2 linked regions of the Lepisosteus oculatus genome follow. The protein of the gene in region 1 interacts with the protein of each later gene in a pairwise test. Links are inferred from orthologs where the notes say so. Each region holds a gene or a part of one and is shown in the gene's direction. Other genes may lie near its edges.

Region 1 (10,152 bases):
CAGGTTACATTCCAGCACGGCACAGCCTGCAGAGTGGCACGCTTACTCGGCGCCGCCCACAGCAAGAAAAGAAAATGTTCAATTCCCAGATGTCTTCAAATCCGCTCTGAAGACAGCAGGGCACACATTCCAGATACACTATTCTGTTTACAGTAACTCCGAACATTTTTGTTCAAGATCTTGTGCTGCACGATGGTATGCCCAACAGCTCCAGGATCCCGAGTTTGGAAATAAGTAAAATCTGCCCGCGTTTTTCCCCCGCTGTTATTTCCACTCCTGTGATGCTGCTCAGATTAATTCATCTGACACAAGTGCAGTTCCTTAAAACTGCAGCAGCTCTGAATATGCTAGAAATGATATTAGCTAACATGACTTCTTCCTGTTTTCAGCTCTGATGGGCTATTTGCTTCCCAGTTATACTGTAACACAGATGAAGTCAGCAGGCAGAGAGGGACTGGGGCCTGTGGAGACAGAGCTCAGTTCCCTCCACTGTGTGATCTGACATACCTGAGGCATCAATGCTGATAGTGTTTCATAGATTAAGTTTCTAAAACTGTACCGAGGCCCAGAAGCTGTTTTGCACTGACGCTCCTCTCTCTCTCTCTCTCTCTCTCTTACTGACTTTATTAGCCTGAGGAGCAGTGAACCTGTCTCTCAGTAATGTTCTATATGTTGTATGTAAATGTCTTAAGTCTTTCAACTTCAATATACAGAACTTTATGCACGGGGACACTATACTGTAAACAGGCGCCGTCCTTCGGATGAGACGTAAAACCGAGGTCCTGACTCTCTGTGGTCGTTAAAAATCCCAGGGCGTTTCTCGAAAAGAGTAGGGGTGTAACCCCGGTGTCCTGGCCAAATTTCCCATTGGCCCTTACCAATCATGGCCTCCAAATAATCCCCATCTATGAACTGGCTTCATTACTCTGCTCTCCTCCCCACTGAGAGCTGGTGTGTGGTGAGTGTTCTGGCGCACTATGGCTGCCGTCACATCGTCCAGGTGGGGCTGCACAGTGGTGATGGTGGAGGGGATCCCCATTACCTGTAAAGCGCTTTGTGTGGAGTGTCCAGAAAGCGCTATATAAGTGTAAGCAATTATTATTATTACGCAGTCTTATATCAGCTAGGTCATTAAGAGTTTGCTTCATACTGCCTGACTAAACTGCTCTTAACATGTGACCGACTTAAGATGAACACACACAGGTGAGAGTGACACTGTGTCAGATTCTCCTTGTATCACTGTGTCAGTGTCTTTTCTTCTGCCTCAGTCCAGATGAATATCAGAAATCAAAATAAATTTGCTAGTGATTAAGAACCCAGCTGGAAAAAAAACAGCAGACACACAGGAGTAATCCGGGACCAGGGCTAAGAACCACAACATTACCATAACGCCAAAGCACAACAACAGACAACTAACAAACTACAAAACGTGATAAACAGCTGTATAGCTATTATTGTAGTATTACAACAGAAAAAAACAACTATATAACACAACAACAACAAGGACACAGAAAACATCTGTCAGCTGACTGTCCACAATCAGACAATCAAACAACCTTCTCTCTTCCGTCCTGTGCCCTGACAGCACTCTCTCCCTCTATTGGTTCACTTAGCGAAAAAAAAATAATAGTAGTTGATACTATGACTACTGTCGTCTTAATGTTCATTCCTAACCACATCTCAGGGCTGTTATTCTGAGTTAACCCCAACCTCACGGGTTTAAAACGCTCAAGCCCAGCCAGCTGCCTTCCTGTTTGTAAATTACATGCATTTGTAACATCGCGGGAGCTCGTATCTGCTCATCCGAAACAGAAAGCAAGTCTGGAACACGAACTGCGGCTCAGCACAAACATGCTGCAGTCCGGACGGGTTCTGACTGGGTCCGAGACCCGGTCTCCGCTCGCTCCGCGGTCTCACCTCCGGGGGCAGGTACGGCGGGTTGTTGCTGGGCTTCGTGCTTCTGCTCGCCCGGTTCTTCGCTTTCTTGCCGTTTTTCGAGGTCGACTTTTTGGACATCATCCCGAACCCGTTCCCCGAACCGGCAGCCAGTCCCTGCGAGCCCGACTTCAAGCCGGAGCCGGTACCGAAGAGCTCCGCCATCCGCGAGTCCATCTTGCGGCCGCGGCCTCTCTCCTCCCCCTCAGATGCGTCGCGGCTCTTTCGACTTCCGAAAACCGGGACAGCGCCGGTAACGCATCTGCTGGGCTACAGAGAGGGAATAAAAACAAAAACACTGCACCCCCTCTGCACCCGAAAACGATACCTCAGCACTGAGCTCACTGAAGCGGATATACGTCAAGGCTGATGACAGAGAGGGAAATATTTTCGATGACGTTCACTGAATATTCATGAGGAACCAAAAGTGGGCTGGGATTTCAATCCAGTCTCTCCTCCTATTGGCTGTGACTCACATCAGAATCCCCGCCCACGGAAGAGGGCATGTCTGCGCTCGACTCTTGCCTGTCTTTGCATCAGCGACGGGTGAGGTTAGAGGTGAAGAATGTCAAATGAAGCCACCAATATTGTTGTCCTCATTGTGAAACTACTCCTAGGTTGCAAATGCCAAAACATGTTTTCTTAGTTCAACAAAAACAAAAACCATGGCCGGCCCAAGCTCCCTGCGGGCACTAGGCAAGGTCTTGGAAAGGGGCCTCCCTTATTCATGATTTGCACAGACATTACTAGTATCAGCTCCCAACACAACCTTGTTTTACTGTTTAGAACCATTAAATAAATTAATTATTTAACTGGAAAACGTACTGTTCAACTTTGAAGAGCACATAATATGTTACAGACAAGAACAAGAAGCATACATTTTACAAAGATAACAGGCCAAGCAAATGGGAGCATCCAAAAAAATGTTCTATAAATCATTCGACTAGATTTTCGGGAGGCAAAATCATCAATTGCATCTTCATGCCATAGTAGTCGACCCACAGCGTGACTGATGCTCATGATGGCCTTGTGCCAAGGCTGACCTCAGGAGTGTTTTAATCATCTTGAGCTCTGAGCAGCTCCTCTCTGCTCCTGCCACTGTCACTGGGAGAGAGACTGCAATCTGAAGGGCTACAGGTTGGGTTCACGATACCCCCATTCATTGAAATACAGCAGAAACCCCAAGGAAAACAAATATGTTTTAACTCTGATCACGTATAAACACTGAACAGTTTTTTGTACTGCGCATTCACCTTCAAGCTTTTGTTTGGCCTAGCAGCACTGATTTTTAGCCAGGTATCCCACACAGCTTGTGTACAATTAGAGAAACATGAATCTGTTAACTTCAAGTAAAACACCTCTCGTAGTCTACATCTTGATCTTGAAAATGTGGTTCGTCTACTATTTGCTACTAACATGGATCTGATAGACTCAAAAGCAAATGAAATCCAAATTACATTATCATGCAAATGATGTATTATTAAAATGATTGGAGCGTACCTCTGTTTTGAGATCGCTTATCCTGCTCTTCTTTTCTGCGCTTCAGAAACTTATTTGGTTATTGGTTATGATTGGTTATTTTTTGAGCGGGCTTCCATTAGGATTATCCACATGGAAATGTTTCCATGGAGATCCTTATCAGTGATCACTGAATATTCATGAGGAACCAAAAGTGGGCTGGGTTCTTAACCCAATCTCTCCTCCTATTGGCTACAACTCAAATCAGAATCCCCGCCCACAGAAGAGGGGATGTCTATGCTTGACTCTTGCCTGTCTTTGCGTCAGCAATGGGTGAGGTTAGAGGTGAAGAATATCAAATGAAGCCAGCAATATTGTTGTCCTCATTGTGAAACTACTCCTAGGTTGCAAACGCCAACATGTTTTCTTAGTTCAACAAAAAAATACTTGCAGGCCCTAGGCAAGGTCTTGGACAGCAGACTCCCCTGATCACGATTTGCACAGACACTACAAGTATCAGCTACAAATACAACACAACAACAGCAGCAACAGAAAGTGCCACACTAGGGAATTTTTCACTCACAAATTGAACATGCTGAGTAAAAAAAATGTTGTGTTGCACATTAAGGGGGATCCCTGATTGCTCTAGACAGTCTCCTAGTTTGCCCGTGCCCACACAACATACTGTAGTGATCTCAGGATCACAGGATCTCATCCAGCTGTGTCTTGGGAGAAGCCAGGCTATCATCTTCAGAAACATGACAGAGTATCCTGTTCCCTACTCTCACAACTCTTTTTGTCATTAGACACCTCAGGATGTTGTCTGTGGAAGTGTAACATTTTTCTTCTTTGAATCGGGGCTGCAGTAGAGCAAATCTCTATCAGGTTCTTTGACTTGGCAATGAAGTACTGAACTGAACCGTAAAGAAATGTCTCCTGTTCTTGGTTTTAAATGCACTCCTACCTAGTTTCCACTTGTGTCCTGTGGTTTGTGTTTCGCTGTTCCACTGGGCTGGAGTTCATTTCAGGATTTTGAATATTTGTATTAGGTATTCTCTGTACAAGCCTAGAAATATTTAGGTCCTTTTGCCCGACAGTGCAGGACATTCCTTTGAGTTCAGGAATGTATGTGGTTACTCTATTCTGGGCTGATTGCAGAGCAACAATTTTATAACACACAGATAACAGTTGTATACAACATGCTAAATTAGGTCTTTCTGGTACATCAAGTCAAGTCAAAGTCAAGTCAAAGTTTATTTATCAAATGCACAACAATACAGCGTGCAGCAGTAGTTGCTGGCAATGAAATGTCTTTTTCTGCGAGCTCACAAAAATCACAAAATTCACAAAAACACAAAAATCACAAAACTGAGGTTACATTTTTGAAATTGAATAAAACTCAATATGAGTAGAGCTGTTATGTTTCCATGGTGTATGCAATATATACATGTAGTGCAGTTATGCTGAATACAGTGAAAACTGTGTGTCCATGTAGCCATTACAGGTGATCTGATAAAGGAGCTGCAGATTGGCTATTTCGCAGTTTTATTGCCTGGAGGTAGAAGCTGTTCCGTAGTCCGTTGGACTTGGACCGAATGCTTTGGTACCGTTTACCAGACAGTAGGAGGGAAAACAGTTTGTGACTGGGATGACTGGGGTCCTTGAGAATGGACCTGGCCTTCTTCAGACATCTAGCTGAGTAGATCTCCTGGATGCTTGGTAGCTCACAGCTGGTGATAAGCTGCGCTGACTTCACCACCCTCTGCAGTACTTTGCGATCCCGGGCGGAGCAGTTCCCATACCAGACAGTGATGCAACCAGTCAGGATGCTCTCAATGGTGCACCTGTAGAAGTTGGCCTGGATATGTGACGGCATGCTGAACTTCTTTAGCCTGCGGAGAAAGAACAGGCGCTGCCGTGCTGTCCTGACCACGGTGTTGGTGTGGTGGGTCCAGGTTAAGTCCTCTGAAATGTTAACTCCCAGGAACTTAAAACTGCTGACCCTCTCCACTGCAGTCCCATTGATGTAAATAGGTGTGTGGTCTCCTCCCTGATGTTTCCTATAGTCCACAATCATCTCCTTTGTCTTACTGATGTTAAGAGAGAGGTTGTTCTCCTGGCACCATGCTGTCAGGGTTTCAACCTCCTCCCTGTATGCATTGTACAATTTCGACAAAAAAAACCTTGATACAAATTAATTTTGTCTTAAGGTGTGTTCTGTATCTTAGTAAGATCACTTTATTAGCCATATAAAGTTTCTTGCATTAGGAATTCATCTTTCACAAACCCCAGCCTGCTCTCCATGAGACACACAGACAGGGAGAGAAGCTTGGGGTCAGAGTGCAGGGTCAGCCATTTATACGGCGCCCCTGGAGCAGCTGGGGTGAAGGGTCTTGCTCAGGGGCCCAACGGAGTAGGATTCCTCTGCCAGCCACGGGACTTGAACCAGCAACCTTCCAGCCACAGGCGCAGATCCTGAGCCACAGAGCCACCACTCCGCCCTGTACATTTGCTGCACTACGTGTCTTAACACTGAGGATATCCATAAGCATAACTGGTAATATTGAGATTTACTCTTCTGCTCTCTATGTCTGCATGACAATTGTGGAGTCCTGATGACTAGTAAAGACAGTGAAAACGTTGACTGTGTGCGCCCAGAGAAATTAAAGTATTAAAGGTGGACAGTGTCTCAGACAGTGGAAGACTGCTGCCGCCTTGTGGTCAGGCGTGAGATAGACCTGAAGACCAGCGGCATGACATCTTTATTCGTGAAAGATAAGAAAGATGAAGTCCACAGCGGCTCGTCGATTGGAGCTCAGCCCGGTTTCCAGCGAGTTAAGCGGACGAGAGAGCACGTGACTCCCCTCCGTGTAGGAATTATCCCCCAACTTATTATTACACAACTGGGTGAACTGGAGCAAATGGGGTACAGTATCTCACTCAAGGCACACCAGCAGCGCCTGCAGCAGGGACTCGAACCCGCAACCTGCCGCTGTTGTGTTCAAACCCAATAGGTTATACCGCTCCCTTATTCAAGATTCAAGAAGAGCGAGCAGAAAATAAAACAATCTTAATAATAAAGCCGCACGCCGAGGTGACCAGGCGTCAGGAATGTTTTTTACATTTTACCTTTCAGCGGCATCCGGGGCTACGGCACTTTTCGACAGAGGGCAATGAGATCTTATTTGTGTGCCAGAGTAATTAAGGAAGTGTACTGTACAGTCTAGGCGGTGTCCGACATTAAGACGTCGGCGTATGCCTCAGCAGCTGGACTGCCGCTGGTGCAGCTGCGCAGACTGTAGGGCTCGGCAGTCCGTCTGACGTACAGGAAGTGACGCGTTTTTAAAAACCTGAAAGAGATTTAAAAAATAACAATACAAAACCAAATCAAATATACGATTAAAATTAAGAGCGCACGGCACGGCCGGGGCTGAGTTTTGCGCTGGGGCTGTGAGGAGCCCCGTGCTGTCAGACCCGACTTCCTGCGGGCTCCCGTGATGCCGCAGCCGCGGCGGCGGATTCAAACCGAGCCGGGGCTGAGGCTGAGGATGGCGGAGCAGCGGCGGCCGGGCAGCCCGGTGACGGTGTACCGGGACCCGGAGCCCCTGGACCAGAGGATGGCGGTGCTGGACATCGGTGCGGCAGTTACGTCGGAAAACACAGACGTCTCCTTGCCTGGCAAGACGGGAGCGGGCGGCCGCGGCGAGGAGGAGAAGGAGAACCGGCTTCCCGGGCCGGGCCAGGCCGCAGGTGCGCTCGGCGGTGCCGCCCCGGCTGGACAGGGGCCTCCGCTGGCCCAGACACCTCGCGTGTCCTGTATCAGGAATAGGAATCCAGCTAGATTAATAGTAATCATTTAATTGGGTTAAGAAGTTCATTTCCGAAAGAACTACATAAGCATATTAAATATTTTACTACTTTAAACATGTTTGTGGTTTGTGTGGGCATTCAGTATACAGACCTACGTTTTTGTGTACTGTAGCCTAGACGGCTGTACTTTTGAGATTAAATTTGTCATTAAAACGCTCCTGACAGTTTGGTCTAGGCGTCACTGATTGCCCGCACTAGAGAATAGGTGGGTGTTGTTGTCCAACTGTCTGATGTTTCACACGTGGGAGCTCTTTAGGATGAATAATTTACAGCTTTTCAGACCTGGGCGAGCTGAAGCCCCCAGGTGTGTATTTCCAGCACAAATCAAGTTCTGGTTGAGCTGATCTGGAATGGTCTTCCAGGTTAGTGTGGGTTACTGAGCTCCTGTGTTTTACAACAGTGTAGGACTGTCCAGTGTTGTTTTCCTCCTCTGTGCATGTGGTGTAGAAAATTAAATCCCTGACAGGAGGATTTTCCGCTGTGATTTCCTTTCAGTTTTAGTGGAAGTCGACACTGCGACTGGGGGGTCAGCCGGCTGCCCTCGGTGTGTGGACGCCCCGGCCAGAGGCTCTGGGCCTCGCGCGCAGGCGGAGGACGGCCGTGTGTGCGTGGTGTTCCGCGGTGCCGTTGCCCACACCAGCTGCTGCAGGTTTGCCTGCGAGCTGCTCAAGTTCGTGCTGTACGAGCGCCAGCAGCTGCCCGCGCCCTACGACCAGCTCCTGCTGCTGCAGGAGGCGACAGCGCCGGCGGGCCGCCAGGTGAGCTGGGCGCCCGCACTCCTGTGGGCACGGACACGCGGGCCTGGCTCGCTATCGGGACTCCGGGCGGTGCACGGAGCAAGAGTACAGGAAGCGCCGCTCAGGTCTGACCTCTGCCCTTCCTCTGCAGGGCGCCCTCCGCAGGCCCATGAAGACGGGCGGCCTGGACGGCCGGCGCTGTCAACAGACGCTGCGGGAGCTGAAGGAGGTGCTGCAGAACCTGGAGGTGCTGTTCTCCCTCACCCTGGTGCCCCGCGTGCTGCTGCTCCTGGGGGGCAACGTCATGGCGCCCAAGGAGCTGTTCGAGATCGATCTGGAGGCCCTGGTCCTGGGCGAGGAGGCTGGCAGCCTGGGCACGGCCGCATGCCTGCGTCAGCTTTTCCACACCCTCTTCGTGGCGGACGTCCTGTTCAAGCCGCAGCCCAGGAGCCTGGTGGCCACCACGGTCATGGTGCTGGGCCACCGGGACTGCGGCGTGGGCTGGTTCCGGCCCAGGCAGGACTACACGGTGCCCACCAGGGCGAAGAGGCAGGTGATCGCTCTGTCCTCCGACACGCACCCCCCCACCCCCGCCCAGGGCGAACAGCGGGACTGGGAGGATTATATCTGGTTCCAGGCGCCTGTGGTCATCAAGGGGTTTTGCAAATGAGAGACAATGGGGTGAGAGCCAGACGAGATACGCGTTACACTAAGCGATGTGGCAAAATAAAGTTGGGCATGAGTCAGCATGGGACTGTGGGGGTTATCCGCACAGGGAGAAAGCCCCCCTTTCCTGCTTTTTACCTCTGCGGAGCCTCCTCATGGTCAGTGCGGGAGGCCATCGGTGCTGTTTTTTTAACTTGTAAGTTGTGTGGATGTCTTTCAATTCTAATGTAAATTCGTTTAAAGTATTAAAGTTTTAAAGAATGCAGCACAGGAAGTGAGATTTTCCTTCCCTAATGATGTGGAAATTCATTGAAGGTTACAGCAGCAGCCGTCAGTTTCATTGCTGTTGGAAGCTTTTTATTGTGGAGAAGGAGTAGACCTGATGGTTTTTCCATGGGCCTTCTCTAAAGTTTAGATTAAATCTGCTGTAAAGTGCCTTTCTGAAGAGCTGCAGTTTAGTGTGTTGTCAGATTGTGTTAAACTCTTAATCTAAACATCATGTCACCTTTCACAATTAGTGCTAATTTAGAATCCCCTTCAGCAGTATCACAAGCCCATTGTGGAGAACCCAGTCTATCAGGTTTAGATGCCTCATACAATCTCATTGATCTGAACTAACAAAGCCAATTAGTGGTCAGTAAGTAACAGATCTCAAAATCAGAACATGCAGCAGTGCTCCAGGACCAGGCCAGCAGGATCCTCCTCTTAATTTTTTTCAATTTTCTCCACTTTCTTTGCGAACTCGCGGAAGTCGTCGGTAAGCAGCTCTGGCTCCTCGAAGGCGGCGAAGTGCCCCCCCCGGGGCATGTAGGAGTAGGAGACGATGTTCTTGTAGCGCCACCTTGCCCAGGACCGCGGGCAGTGCAGGAGCTCGTGGGGAAAGGCCGCCAGGCCGGTGGGAACGTACACGCCCACCCTGCCAAAACACGCAGGCCAGGGACGGTGTTAAAACAGGCCTTGATTTTAGCATCAGACCCACTGCTGTCTCCCCAGCACTGCAGCTCCCTGCTAGAGCTGTTCCACACCTGTTTAACCCAGACGAGCACCGTGGCCAGGAGCCCTACTGAATACCTGGACAGAGGCGGAAGTCAGACATGACCCACTAGTCTGCCTCAACCTGCCTCAGCCTCTACCCAGTGAGGCCCTGCCGGGAGCCTGCACAGCGCCAACAGGAGAGGGAAGTAACAGCTTCCCTGCGCTGTTATGAAGGTTTTGAAGTTGCATCCTCCAAGCATGATTTATCTAATTGGGAACCAAAGGGAGAGGAGGCCAGAAACTGAAAGGAGTAACCCTGTAAAGACCCCTTGTTCAGGGTGTCCAGGAAAGTGATCTCACCTGGCATCCACCCTCTTGTGAATGTTCTCCTTCAGGTTCTCTTTGTAAAACCGCATCGAAGGCACAATGGAGCCTGTGGTCCAATACAACATGACGTTCGTCAAGAGATCATCGAGGAAAAACTTCCTGGAAGAAAAGGCGGATCTCCTGT
Region 2 (10,511 bases), on another chromosome or scaffold:
TTGTGTTTAAAAAATAAAAACATTAAAACAAACCTGCGTAGTAATTTCGTCTAGGTTACTTGTAACTTTTTAACATTCTCTGGAATTTTTCATGTTTTTTTGTATTGCAGATCACCTCTACTGATGCCTACGTTTCGTTTCATTTACGCCCTCAAATCTGAAGAAGGTTCTGCAGCCGAAATGTTCTTTTCTTTTCCTCTCAGCATGGACTAAACCTTTACCTGTTCCTTTGAAGCTGACCCAGCAAACTATTCTTTCATTTATACTCCTGTAAATTGTCATTCTCTTTAAACTGTTTTTTTCCCCATACGATAAAAAGGGTTTTGAGATGTACACAGTTTTGTTTGGTCAGAGGCGACTCTTTCCCCTGTCCAGCACTGTACCAATTTGCCAAGAGGAAGTGATCTAAAAACACAAAAACATTAGCAAGGAGGTAAAAACGACTGAAGACCGGTCATTTTCTATTAGCTGCGAGCCTTCGTATCGCATTCCACCCAGTTCTGAGGATGCACAAATTGTTGTTTTGCCAGAAATGCAACTTTACACTGTCCAGGAGTTTTAGCGTGTTTTAGAGGACTTTTATTGTGAACGGCACCGCAAATAGGAAGCCAGCTCCAGCGTCTTCATGCCGCACTCGGGCTGGCAGCAAGCGGCTGTGTCTGCAAGCGCCCGGTCACTCAGTAGGCACAGCAGATGCACCTGTTTGTTTTTCGGACAGCGTGACTGGCGTAGCTGGCTCATTATTACCGCACGGTATGACTTAATATTTTGTTTTTATGGTAATTGAAACATTGTGAATCGACCATGTTCAGATTAGCAGGAAAATATATAGAAGGAAACTGATGCCTCTCTGGCGGATCCGTTTAGCCTTTATTTGATCGGAGAGGAGGGGCGGTGCTGTAAATACGTGATTAGTCAACTGATGCGCTAATCTGTGCTGTCAGAGATGCCTTTAAACTTATTTTGCGACGTCTGCCTAGAAGTCGTAAATGTCTGAAAGATGAGATTATTTCTAAAATAAAGGAAATCGTGGAGTGAACGGGCAGCATGAAATTCTTTTCTTTCCGCGTTTATTTGGCTCAGCCTGACTCAGCTATGGGAATAACAGTATCTCACAGTGACGTACGTAGGCGAAGCAGCGCAGTGCTTAGTGTTAATGTGGATAGTAATAATGATGTTAAACACGGTCGTTTGCCGTCTAACGTGGGATGCGTGATTGTGCTCTGCGTGTTTACACATGCTCTTATAGTAGGAACGCTACTATGTTGAAGCTGTTGGCACTTTACCAGTTGACTGATGTTAAAACTGGAACTCTTAAGACGGTAAGACGTGTCAGCTCGTGTATTGCAAGTCCGGTATTTATGGAGAGTGGCATCAGGATGATTTAAGTTTCCTACAACGCGAAGATCTATAATTATGCTCTCGTTGTTCATGCTGTAGACCACTCGCACCCACAGGTGTTTTCCGTGTCGTGTCGCGTCCTGTCAGTGTTCCAGTGTCACGCAGATGTGGGTCTGCGCTGTTTGATTAACAGATGTCTACTGTGAACGTCATAGGCTGATAAAAAAGATTTTTTAAATAAAACTGTACTTGAACAGTTTTTAATTAAAAATTGTTTTAAAAAGAATTCCACTTGTCATAAACCAGGCATTCAAGATGTCTCTGGATTTAAATATTAAAGGGCTGAATTATAACGCTAAATATTATAAAATGATTAAACAGCGTGCTATTAATGTTCTGGTTCCATAGATAGATATGGCACAGCTATATCAGCATTGGAGTGAAGCGGAAAAAATCACGAACATATAAAATCTTTTCTGACAGCAGCCCTGGAAGATGGAGACGCCCGATAAATAATGGGAGACGACGTGAGAGTGCCTGTATCACGAGCACAGTAAAAGCGCAGACCTTTACCGTCAGCCCTGTATAAGAAGGAATTCTGGGGAAGCGATTCTGAAAAAGACATGCAGCATATTGATCAGATTGTTCTGGTCCAGGCATGTGATGGTCTGTGAAAAGCAGACATCAGAAGGATTAGAAAAGGCGATTAGACACAGAGAAAATCCAGGATGTGGCTAATCTTTTTTATGAATTAGCTGTCTGTTCCATCATTTGTTTTCAAATAGTGTTTTGTAATATACAGAGAAGTACTGCATTCAAAATATTAATATTTCACAATAGTTAGGGCTGTAGGACACAGCACAGAAACATCAGATTGAGCCTGACCCTTTCGTGGTATCTGCACACACCTCAGTTGTCAGCAGTGCAAATGATGCAGCACTGATTTCTCAGGCTTCTCCCAGAGCACTGGACTGTGTGACTGCAGGGTCCCTGGGAATGATGAAGCTGCGTCCGTGAGCTGATGTGGTGTGTGTCTTCACAGGCTCAAGGATGCATTTAAGCCCTACGTCAGAGACCCAGAACTCTCTGTTCCAGGCCAAGATCAGCAGTAAGACTGCAGCCAAGATGGACACTTTCAGGTACGTTTAGGGGTGAGGATGATAATGATGCCAGTGTGAGAGCTGAGTGTTTCTGCAATGTGTAGATCATGATACATGATTCTAATTATGGTTATTTAACCTTAGATGTTGAATGTTGTTATCTGATCAGACAAAAGGCTTTGGGAGTCTGAAACAGCTGAATGAGATCCCCAGCTTGAACATCTACTATGAATCACATGAACTATTTGGGTAAAATGGCCAATTGATGACCTTCCTCATGCTCCAGGTGTCTTCAGCACGTCCTGAGGGCAGGTTCACACCTGGCTGCAGAAACCTGGTCTTTCCCCTGTGAGACCCTTATGCTCAGGGCCCTGTCTCCCTGGGGAGCTGCCAGAGCAGTGGGGAGTTTTTAGTTCCATTGCTGTTGCCTTGGAAAAGGCATCGACAGGAAGATTGACATGGATGGTTGAAGCTGCAGACCTCTTTCCTCTTGTAACTTGTTACCTCATAAGAAACCTGCTTCCAGGAAGTGAGAGGGTTCTGGTGCTCAGAGCTGGTCAGGTGTGGACCCATGTGTCGCCATGAGGAAATACCTGATCCCTCACTGCTGGAGAACACAGTCTGTGCTCTTAGTTCTTCATTTGCTCTGAAGGTGCGAAGCTGGTGCTCATTGCTCTGGGGTTGTTAGGGTATTGCCGCCCGGGACTGTATATAGAGCTTCTTACCACATACATACGGAGTTTAGGGATTAGTAACTGGTAGGTGCTGTAGAAAGAAGAAAAAATTAGAAAAAATGGGAAAGATCAGTCCTACTATTCAGGCTGGACCAATAGAGAACTTTTTTGCCATTTTTTCCATATGTTATTATTTATATATAATATATATTATGTTTTGTGAGACTGTTCCTGAATTGATAAAAAAATTATAATTGTCAATAATTTTCTGTTTATGCACTTCCGATCACAGAAATAATCAGTTTGACTCACCGATACAGTCCAAGATCAGAGGAGTGAGGGTGCTCATAGCGTGCTCTGTGAAAGCGCGTGTTTCTGCTCCTTTGCCTGGTCAGGCAGCGCGAACTGTGGAGCCTACAGCAGAGCGAGCGCTCCTCGGAGACCACACTGGACACTCGCAGGCCCTGGCCAGTCACAGGGGCCACTCTTGCACGACAAGATGAGGGTGTCCTGGTCAAGTTAAGTCCACCCAAGTTGGCAAGTGTTGCCACTCCTTGTTGAATCCAAGTGACAATAGGAGAGGTAGGCAGGGTTTGGCAGTGTAGGCAGCAAGAAGATAACTTGCAGATACAAAATGGGAAACTGAGATAGAAGAGGCTACTGATGTAAACGACAGATGTGTGTGTTGATGCAGGTTCTGCTTATATCTTCTAGACAATGAGGAGAAGGAATAAAAAGGAAATCCTAAATATGTATGAAAGAATATATATTTAAATTTAAAAGTGCAGAATTTAAATCAAGGGATGTTATGTTAAACGTCTTCAATGCACTAGCATGGCTTCATTTAGAAAATTGTGTACAGTTTTGTACACCATGTTGTAGAAAAGATGTTGCTTCTGTGTAATCTGTCCAGAAAAGAGCAACCAGATACATTCCAGATCACAAAGAAATTTCCTACACTGACAGGCCAAAGGAACTAAATCTTTACAGTTTTGAACAGAGAAGACAATAAGCCGACCTGATACAAATGTTCAAAATCCTCAAAGACATTGACAACATCAGCCCAGTAGATTTCTTCCGAATAAACAATTAAACGCAAACCCTACGTGAAGATACAGAGGCTACAAGCAGAAACTACGAGGAAGTACATTTTAAACTGAGGACAGGAGGTATGTCTTCAGCCAGAGGGTTGTGGGAATGTAGAACATGTTACCCAGCCTTGTTGAAGCCCATACCCTGGCTTCTGTTAGAAAACAGCTTGATCCTTCAGTTAGGGACTAACAAAGAGACAAGATAACCTGGGTGTCCTCCTCTTGTTTGTAACTGTTCATATTAACTTAATTACGTTTTATATTATTCACAAAATCTGCACCTCATCTCGCAAATGTGCTGGGCTTTTTCTAGTGGGAGCTGTCCTTGTATCTTTCTACATACATATGTCAGAATGCAGCTTGCAGTGCTCTCAATTATAGCAATTTGAGAAGATTGAGAATGTCACTATTGCATCCACTGGTCCTGACTAATGGAGACGGAGTTTGGCCAGCTGAACAGATCATGCAAGTTCAAATGGTCTGAACTGGAGCTCAGACCCTCACCCTGCTCCTGGCCCCCTGATCTGAAGAATGCCTCTGTTGTGATATGTTCAGGAATGCTGGAAGCACCTTGTGACAGAATTATCCAGTGAACTGAGGGGATTAAAGTCCTTGTGAAAGAGGTATTTGTGGGTTTTGTGTAACAGTCTTTTTCTGGACATCTGAGCACTCCAAGCACAGTTTCAATTCATTAGCCAGGAGTTCTGCCAATTAAGAACCAGAGCTCTGCTGTCACAGGGGAAAGCGGATTTTCTTCTTTGTGTGCTTCAGCTCCAGAGCTGTCCTGGAAGGAGTGGGGTGACGGGGGGGTGAGGAGGGAGCTGAACCGCAGGCCTGTGGCTGTCTGAGAGCTCTGGAAAGGTGTTGGATTGGTGCAGCCTTGGTCCCAGCAATCTTTTAGCTTTATTCTACCAAAAGAAAACAAGTATGATGGGATAAATGGGCCATCTTGATCTTTTGCTTCACTTCTTTCTGCACCTATGTACCTAAAATCAGGGCATAATGACATCTATGAGTCCTGTTAATACAGTAAAAGCAAAATTTAACATTCTGTTGGGGGAAGGGTGGTCTGTTAATGGGGATAGTCTGTTAAGTCATGACGCATATGCTACATCTAATTCATACACAGATACTACTCTCTGAATAATGTAATGTAGTTACCTTCTTTTAAAATGCAATTTTAAGCAAAGTTATTGTAAGAGAATCTAATTTTCCAATAAGAATTAAAGTAAACATTAAGGTTGCCCAGTTTGGTATAATTTTGAACAATTCCATACTGTACTGGGCAAGCCAATGGATGCTGTGGCGAAAGTTATTCTGATAACTCTTCAGTGACATTGAAAATAAGCCAAAGGTATCAAATGTAATTCAGACAGTTATTTACTTTGCCAATGCCCTTTTTAACCTGCTGACTTAATTTTAATGTATTTTGTGGCCTGACCACCACAGTGGACCAATAGCATGTTAAGAGGCTAGGTGGGGGATTGGGGCTAGACTGGGGCTAGAGGGGGATAGACCCCCTTTTGTCGTGATTTGGCTTGGAGAGCAAGACTGTTGGTGTTATAGAGTCCAACTCTTACGCACAAGACAAATCATTATTTGCCTCACTGGAATATTAACCGGATTAGAGCTCAAATGTCTCCTAACAATGGGCCAGTGATGCTGGAATCAGCCAGTGCCCAGCACAGACGCATTCGCAAGCCTCTGGTCACCAAGGCCTCTCTGTCACGTGGGTTCCTGGAGATTTAAATAATCCTCCACTTGAGAGGCAGAACATCCTTTTAAGTTTTATTGTTGTTTTCACCAATTCATTTGAGGAGCACAATTGGACCTAAAGGAGAAGTGGACTTGTTACTTCATTAGGAAGTTGGTCTTTTGGTGTTTTTCCTTCTGTCTTTTTGGTGGTCTTGCTGGGCCTGCCAGTCCTGGTGCTGGAGCTCCTCCCGTGCTGAAAGAAGGAGGACTTGTTCACCTGCTCTGAAACGTCCGACTACAGCTTTGTAAACTGCAAGAAATTACCTTTTGACCAAAGAACTTTGGAAAGGATTTTATTCTGGATGCAAAAGAAGTTCAAGAAAGAGAACAAGAAACTGTTGTTTGAATTGCAGTTGCTGATTCATACTGGAACCATTGATTGTAGCTCATTCATATATTTTTAAGAACTTTTCACTGAACACTTGTACCAGTAATTGAATCATCTTAATTTTCATCGATCGGCTTGTTTTGCATTGCTACTGGCTTGCTGCCGCAATCGGCTAGTCTGAGCAGAAGTGCCGGGAGGCAGTGTGTGATTGCGTGTGGAGCTTCACTGCCAGCTCGCCCTGACCGACCCAGCCTGCCAGCGGATGGAGGATGCGGAGGGGCTCCCGGGGCTGCGTGCCCGCTCCGACAGCATGGCCAGCACAGCCTCGGTGTCCACCAGCGGGAGGCTGCTCCTGCGCCAGCGCGTGGTGCAGCTCATGACCTGCGTGGAGGACCTGAGCTCTGACGAGGAGCTGCAGGAGGAGGTGTCTCGCACCCTGAATGAGGCTTTCCTGCTCTGCGGGAAGCGGGGCGCCCGCGAGGAGGAGCGCTTCAGGTGCCTTGGCTGTTACCATCTGCTCCCTGGCGTCCTGGGGGGAGAGAGAGTGGTTTAAAGCTCCAGAAATTCACATGTATTTCCGATAGTCCAGGGAAGGACAACCAGGGCAATGAGCACAAATTCCTCCTCCACTTCAGTACTCAGAATGCTTTAACTGATGTGATGCGAGAGGTGCAGACATACTAAAAAACAAAATGGGAAAGTCTCTAGTCAAATGTCTCAGTCATACGTATCATAAATTTACAGGCACATCACTGAGATTTTTCATAGTGAGGAGGGGATGGAGTAATGTGGTTTCCAGCTGGACTCTTGTTGGATGTTTTTGTAAAATTTCTGAGATGCTATTTATAGCCTTTGGAGACGCAGTGCAGCGATGTTCCTCTGAACCAATGCAATGCAAGTTGTCCATGTCTGGAATGTGTCCTTCTTTATGTACCAGCGGTGCTGTGGTTCTGCTCCTCTCTCTCAGGTTGCACATGGTCACCTGGAATGTGGGGACTGCTGCCCCCCCCAGCGATGTCAGCTCCCTGCTGGAGCTGGACTCTGAGAAACCTGCTGACTTGTTTGTGATTGGGTGAGTGAGTGTCCAGCAGGTGGGACATCCTGCAAGAGGCTTCTTCCCATCTACATTTCTATTTCATCACTTTCTACTGCAATTACAAAATCTGTTCTCCTTTTAAAGGAGTATTGCTTATTCAGTTTCTGCCATTCCTTTAAGACCACTTTCTCTTGAGATCTGCTCCATGGTATTGTCAGCACCCTGCTTACAGGACTGTTGTGTGTGACAAATGGTCCTACTTCAAACAACAGTAAAACAGCTTGTTGTACAAAGCAAAATTAAATGCCACATAGAGACTCCATTAACATCAAAACATGCAACATCCTACCTTGAAATTCACACAATTTATTCTCTGTAATAACTATTTTAAAGCTCTGTTTCAGAGTGACATGAGCCTCTACTTTATGTATCATTTTATGTTACCGTTTGACTTTTTTTAACACCAGCTATAAGGGCATCAGTTTTGCCAGTATCACAGTACAGTCATAGCTAACAATAAGAACTTTAAGTCACAGAATAAAAATTAAGTCCCAGTTAAAGACTAAAACAAAATAGACAGAGCAGACATGTATGTTGCAGAAAATCCTTTCTTACTAAGAATTAGGCATATGTTTCTAACATATTCAGCCCGAGACATGCAGTACTGTACTCTTACCTCAACCACAGCTGCTGATGCCCGAGAAGAGAATAATACCTCTGATCACTGCTCAGAAGGCAACAAAGTCCTCACACAGGTCCCTGGTGTGTCAGTTGACATCTGACATGTTCAGTCATGTTCGAAGAGGAAAATAAAGAAGCCCTGAAAGGCGTGTGCACCCATTCAGGAGCTGCCAGTGCAGAGTGCCCGCCTAGAGCTGCACTCCGGCATGCTGGATGCGGGTGGCATAGGCTGGTATCGCTGGTGCCTTTGGCAGCTGTTCTGTGTTTTCTCTGCAGGCTGCAGGAAGTCAACTCCAGGCTTCTGAATTTTATTAATGACATGACGTTTGAGGACCCCTGGAGTCGCCTCCTGATGGACACGCTGGCCCCGCTGGGATATGTGAAGGTTCGGCCTTTTACTCTTCTCTGCAGCGTCCGTCTCAGTTCACACCTTCTAGAGTTCTAGAGCTTCAAACATGAGCGTAAAAAACTGATGAAGAAAGTAAAAATGAATTCCATGCCAGTTCTCTGTGTAGCACCATCTGTGCCTGCAAGTTAGGGAAAGCTATGATGCTGTAACAAAGCGGTCTTCTCCTCTCACACATGAAGACTTTGTTTCTTTTTCAAAATGCAAATACATAAAATTCCTGAACACTGACACTGCTGTAGGCTTGTGGCAAACTAAGAGCTGGTTAAAAGAGGTGCTACCATCTTTAAAGAATTGTAGTTGAAGCTGTATCTCCAGTCAAGGCTGAAACTAATGGTCTTGATGCAGGACCTTTTCATTGCAGTACTGGGCCAGGCTGCCATCCCAGCAGCTTCAGTGTCTTTCAGAGACATGTGTGTGCTGTATCTCTCGCTGCTGACTTGGCCTTCCTGAACAATGGAAGGCATTGTCATCCACCTCATTAGGGGGCTGTTAATACAGTGAGAGGGCATGGTTTGTTTATCAAACAGAGTCTCATTTGTGGTCCAAACCAATTAATATTGTTAAGCCTTCATTTTTTATTAAACTTTTTATTCTCAGAGTGTCTGAACATGTATGTCTTTGTAGTGTCCTCTGTTATCTGGAAACCTCTGTTTGCTTGAAAGGAACAGTGGGATAATACTAGCTAACGTAGTTCACACTAGAGTTCCCTGCAGTTCATACTGGCAGCACATGGAGTTGCTCTTTTGCCTGTATGATCTCTCTCATTCTCCTGTCTTCTGAATGAACCTGTCAACCCTAAAGTGCTGAAGCGCTGTACACTACCAGTACCCAGAATGGGACCTGAACAGCTGACAGGTGCCCAGGAGATTCGTCTGTCATTAAGAACAGACTTTTCTCCAAAGGGACCACTTCCTTTCAATGTCCACTCTAGACCCGTTTGCTTGCTTTATTTCTGGACAGCTTAGAATCTGCAAAGCAGTTAGTGAGAAGCAGAGCACATGCTGTCTCATAACAGAAATGTTCAGGCCATTAGTTGGGAACCAGTGATAAAGCCAATTTATAATAATCGATTTTCACACATATTTATCCCCTTTCATACTAAAGGAGACCCATTTCCTCCTCCATCGTGGGTGATGCTCAGCATCTGCTCTGCAGGAGCAGATCCAGGCTAGGAGTGAGGAACTGCTGCACCAGGGGGAACTTTAGGGAGGCCAGACTGTTTGAGCACAGTGACATTTAGCCAGATCACCGGGGTGCATACTCCTGTTTGTGTGAGCAGTGCCTTGGAATCTTTCGTGACCAAGTGGCCATGTTGTGCTGTGACTCAATGAATGGCCAATGGCCAGTTGTTCGCTTAGCTGTTTCATGTTGAGCCCATAACTTCACATACATTTGTCTTGAAAATAAATATTTTCTCTTCACCTCACTTTTTGATTAATAGCTTTGATTTCAGAATGGAGGCAAGCTCATTGTCCCCCAACCCTGTCTGTCCCTTCTCATGCAGCTGATATCCATCCGCATGCAGGGACTCCTGTTGCTCCTCTTTGCCAAGCAAGCGCACATCACATTCATCCGGGACATCCAGGCCAGCTACACCCGCACCGGCATCTACGGATACTGGGTAGGAAAGAGAGCGATTCCTGCCTTCAGGCACCAGCAAATGATAAAACCAAGTTAAAACTGAAACAATATAAAAAATCTAAATTTTCTGCCATGCTTATAAGTAATCTGGTGTCCAGTTCTACAACTCAACTCATGAGTTTGATGCAGATGAACAGAAGGGGAGGTGAAGGGCTGCCTGCTGACTGCTGCTGTCTTTCCAGCATGCTGTTCAGCAGTATTGCATGTTTACCACGAGTCTTAAAAATGTTGAGTTGGGAATTGTCTTGGTCAGACACCGCAGCCAGTGTACTCATTCATATTAACAGTGGTGATGCAAAATCTCAGAGGTCAAAATGAAATATGCAGTGCACATTTGTACATCATACCTTGAGATTTTCAGAAATGCATTGGTAACACAAACAGAATGATGGGATACTTTCTTATAATTCCTCTGTGTCTTGTGTATTATACCTATGTGTTCAACCTGGGATTTT

Evidence for each region.
Region 2: the proteins of mad2l1bp (region 1) and inositol polyphosphate 5-phosphatase K interact in binary tests that used the Homo sapiens proteins (3 or more experiments, as listed by UniProt). The link is inferred for Lepisosteus oculatus from reciprocal best matches to the Homo sapiens genes MAD2L1BP and INPP5K.

Annotation. Positions count from the first base shown.
Region 1 is NC_090712.1:641,261-651,412, reverse strand, and holds mad2l1bp (MAD2L1-binding protein), read left to right. Parts: upstream 1-6,676; 5' UTR 6,677-6,890; coding exon 6,891-7,143; intron 7,144-7,758; coding exon 7,759-8,021; intron 8,022-8,151; coding exon 8,152-8,670; 3' UTR 8,671-8,794; downstream 8,795-10,152. Other genes in the region: gtpbp2b (GTP-binding protein 2b), read right to left, coding at 1,918-2,112; ephx5 (epoxide hydrolase 1), read right to left, coding at 9,372-9,582, 10,002-10,127. UniProt on the Homo sapiens protein: May function to silence the spindle checkpoint and allow mitosis to proceed through anaphase by binding MAD2L1 after it has become dissociated from the MAD2L1-CDC20 complex.
Region 2 is NC_090721.1:245,900-256,410, reverse strand, and holds the start of inositol polyphosphate 5-phosphatase K, read left to right. Parts: upstream 1-5,749; 5' UTR 5,750-6,551; coding exon 6,552-6,784; intron 6,785-7,256; coding exon 7,257-7,361; intron 7,362-8,282; coding exon 8,283-8,391; intron 8,392-9,919; coding exon 9,920-10,036; intron 10,037-10,511. UniProt on the Homo sapiens protein: Inositol 5-phosphatase which acts on inositol 1,4,5-trisphosphate, inositol 1,3,4,5-tetrakisphosphate, phosphatidylinositol 4,5-bisphosphate and phosphatidylinositol 3,4,5-trisphosphate.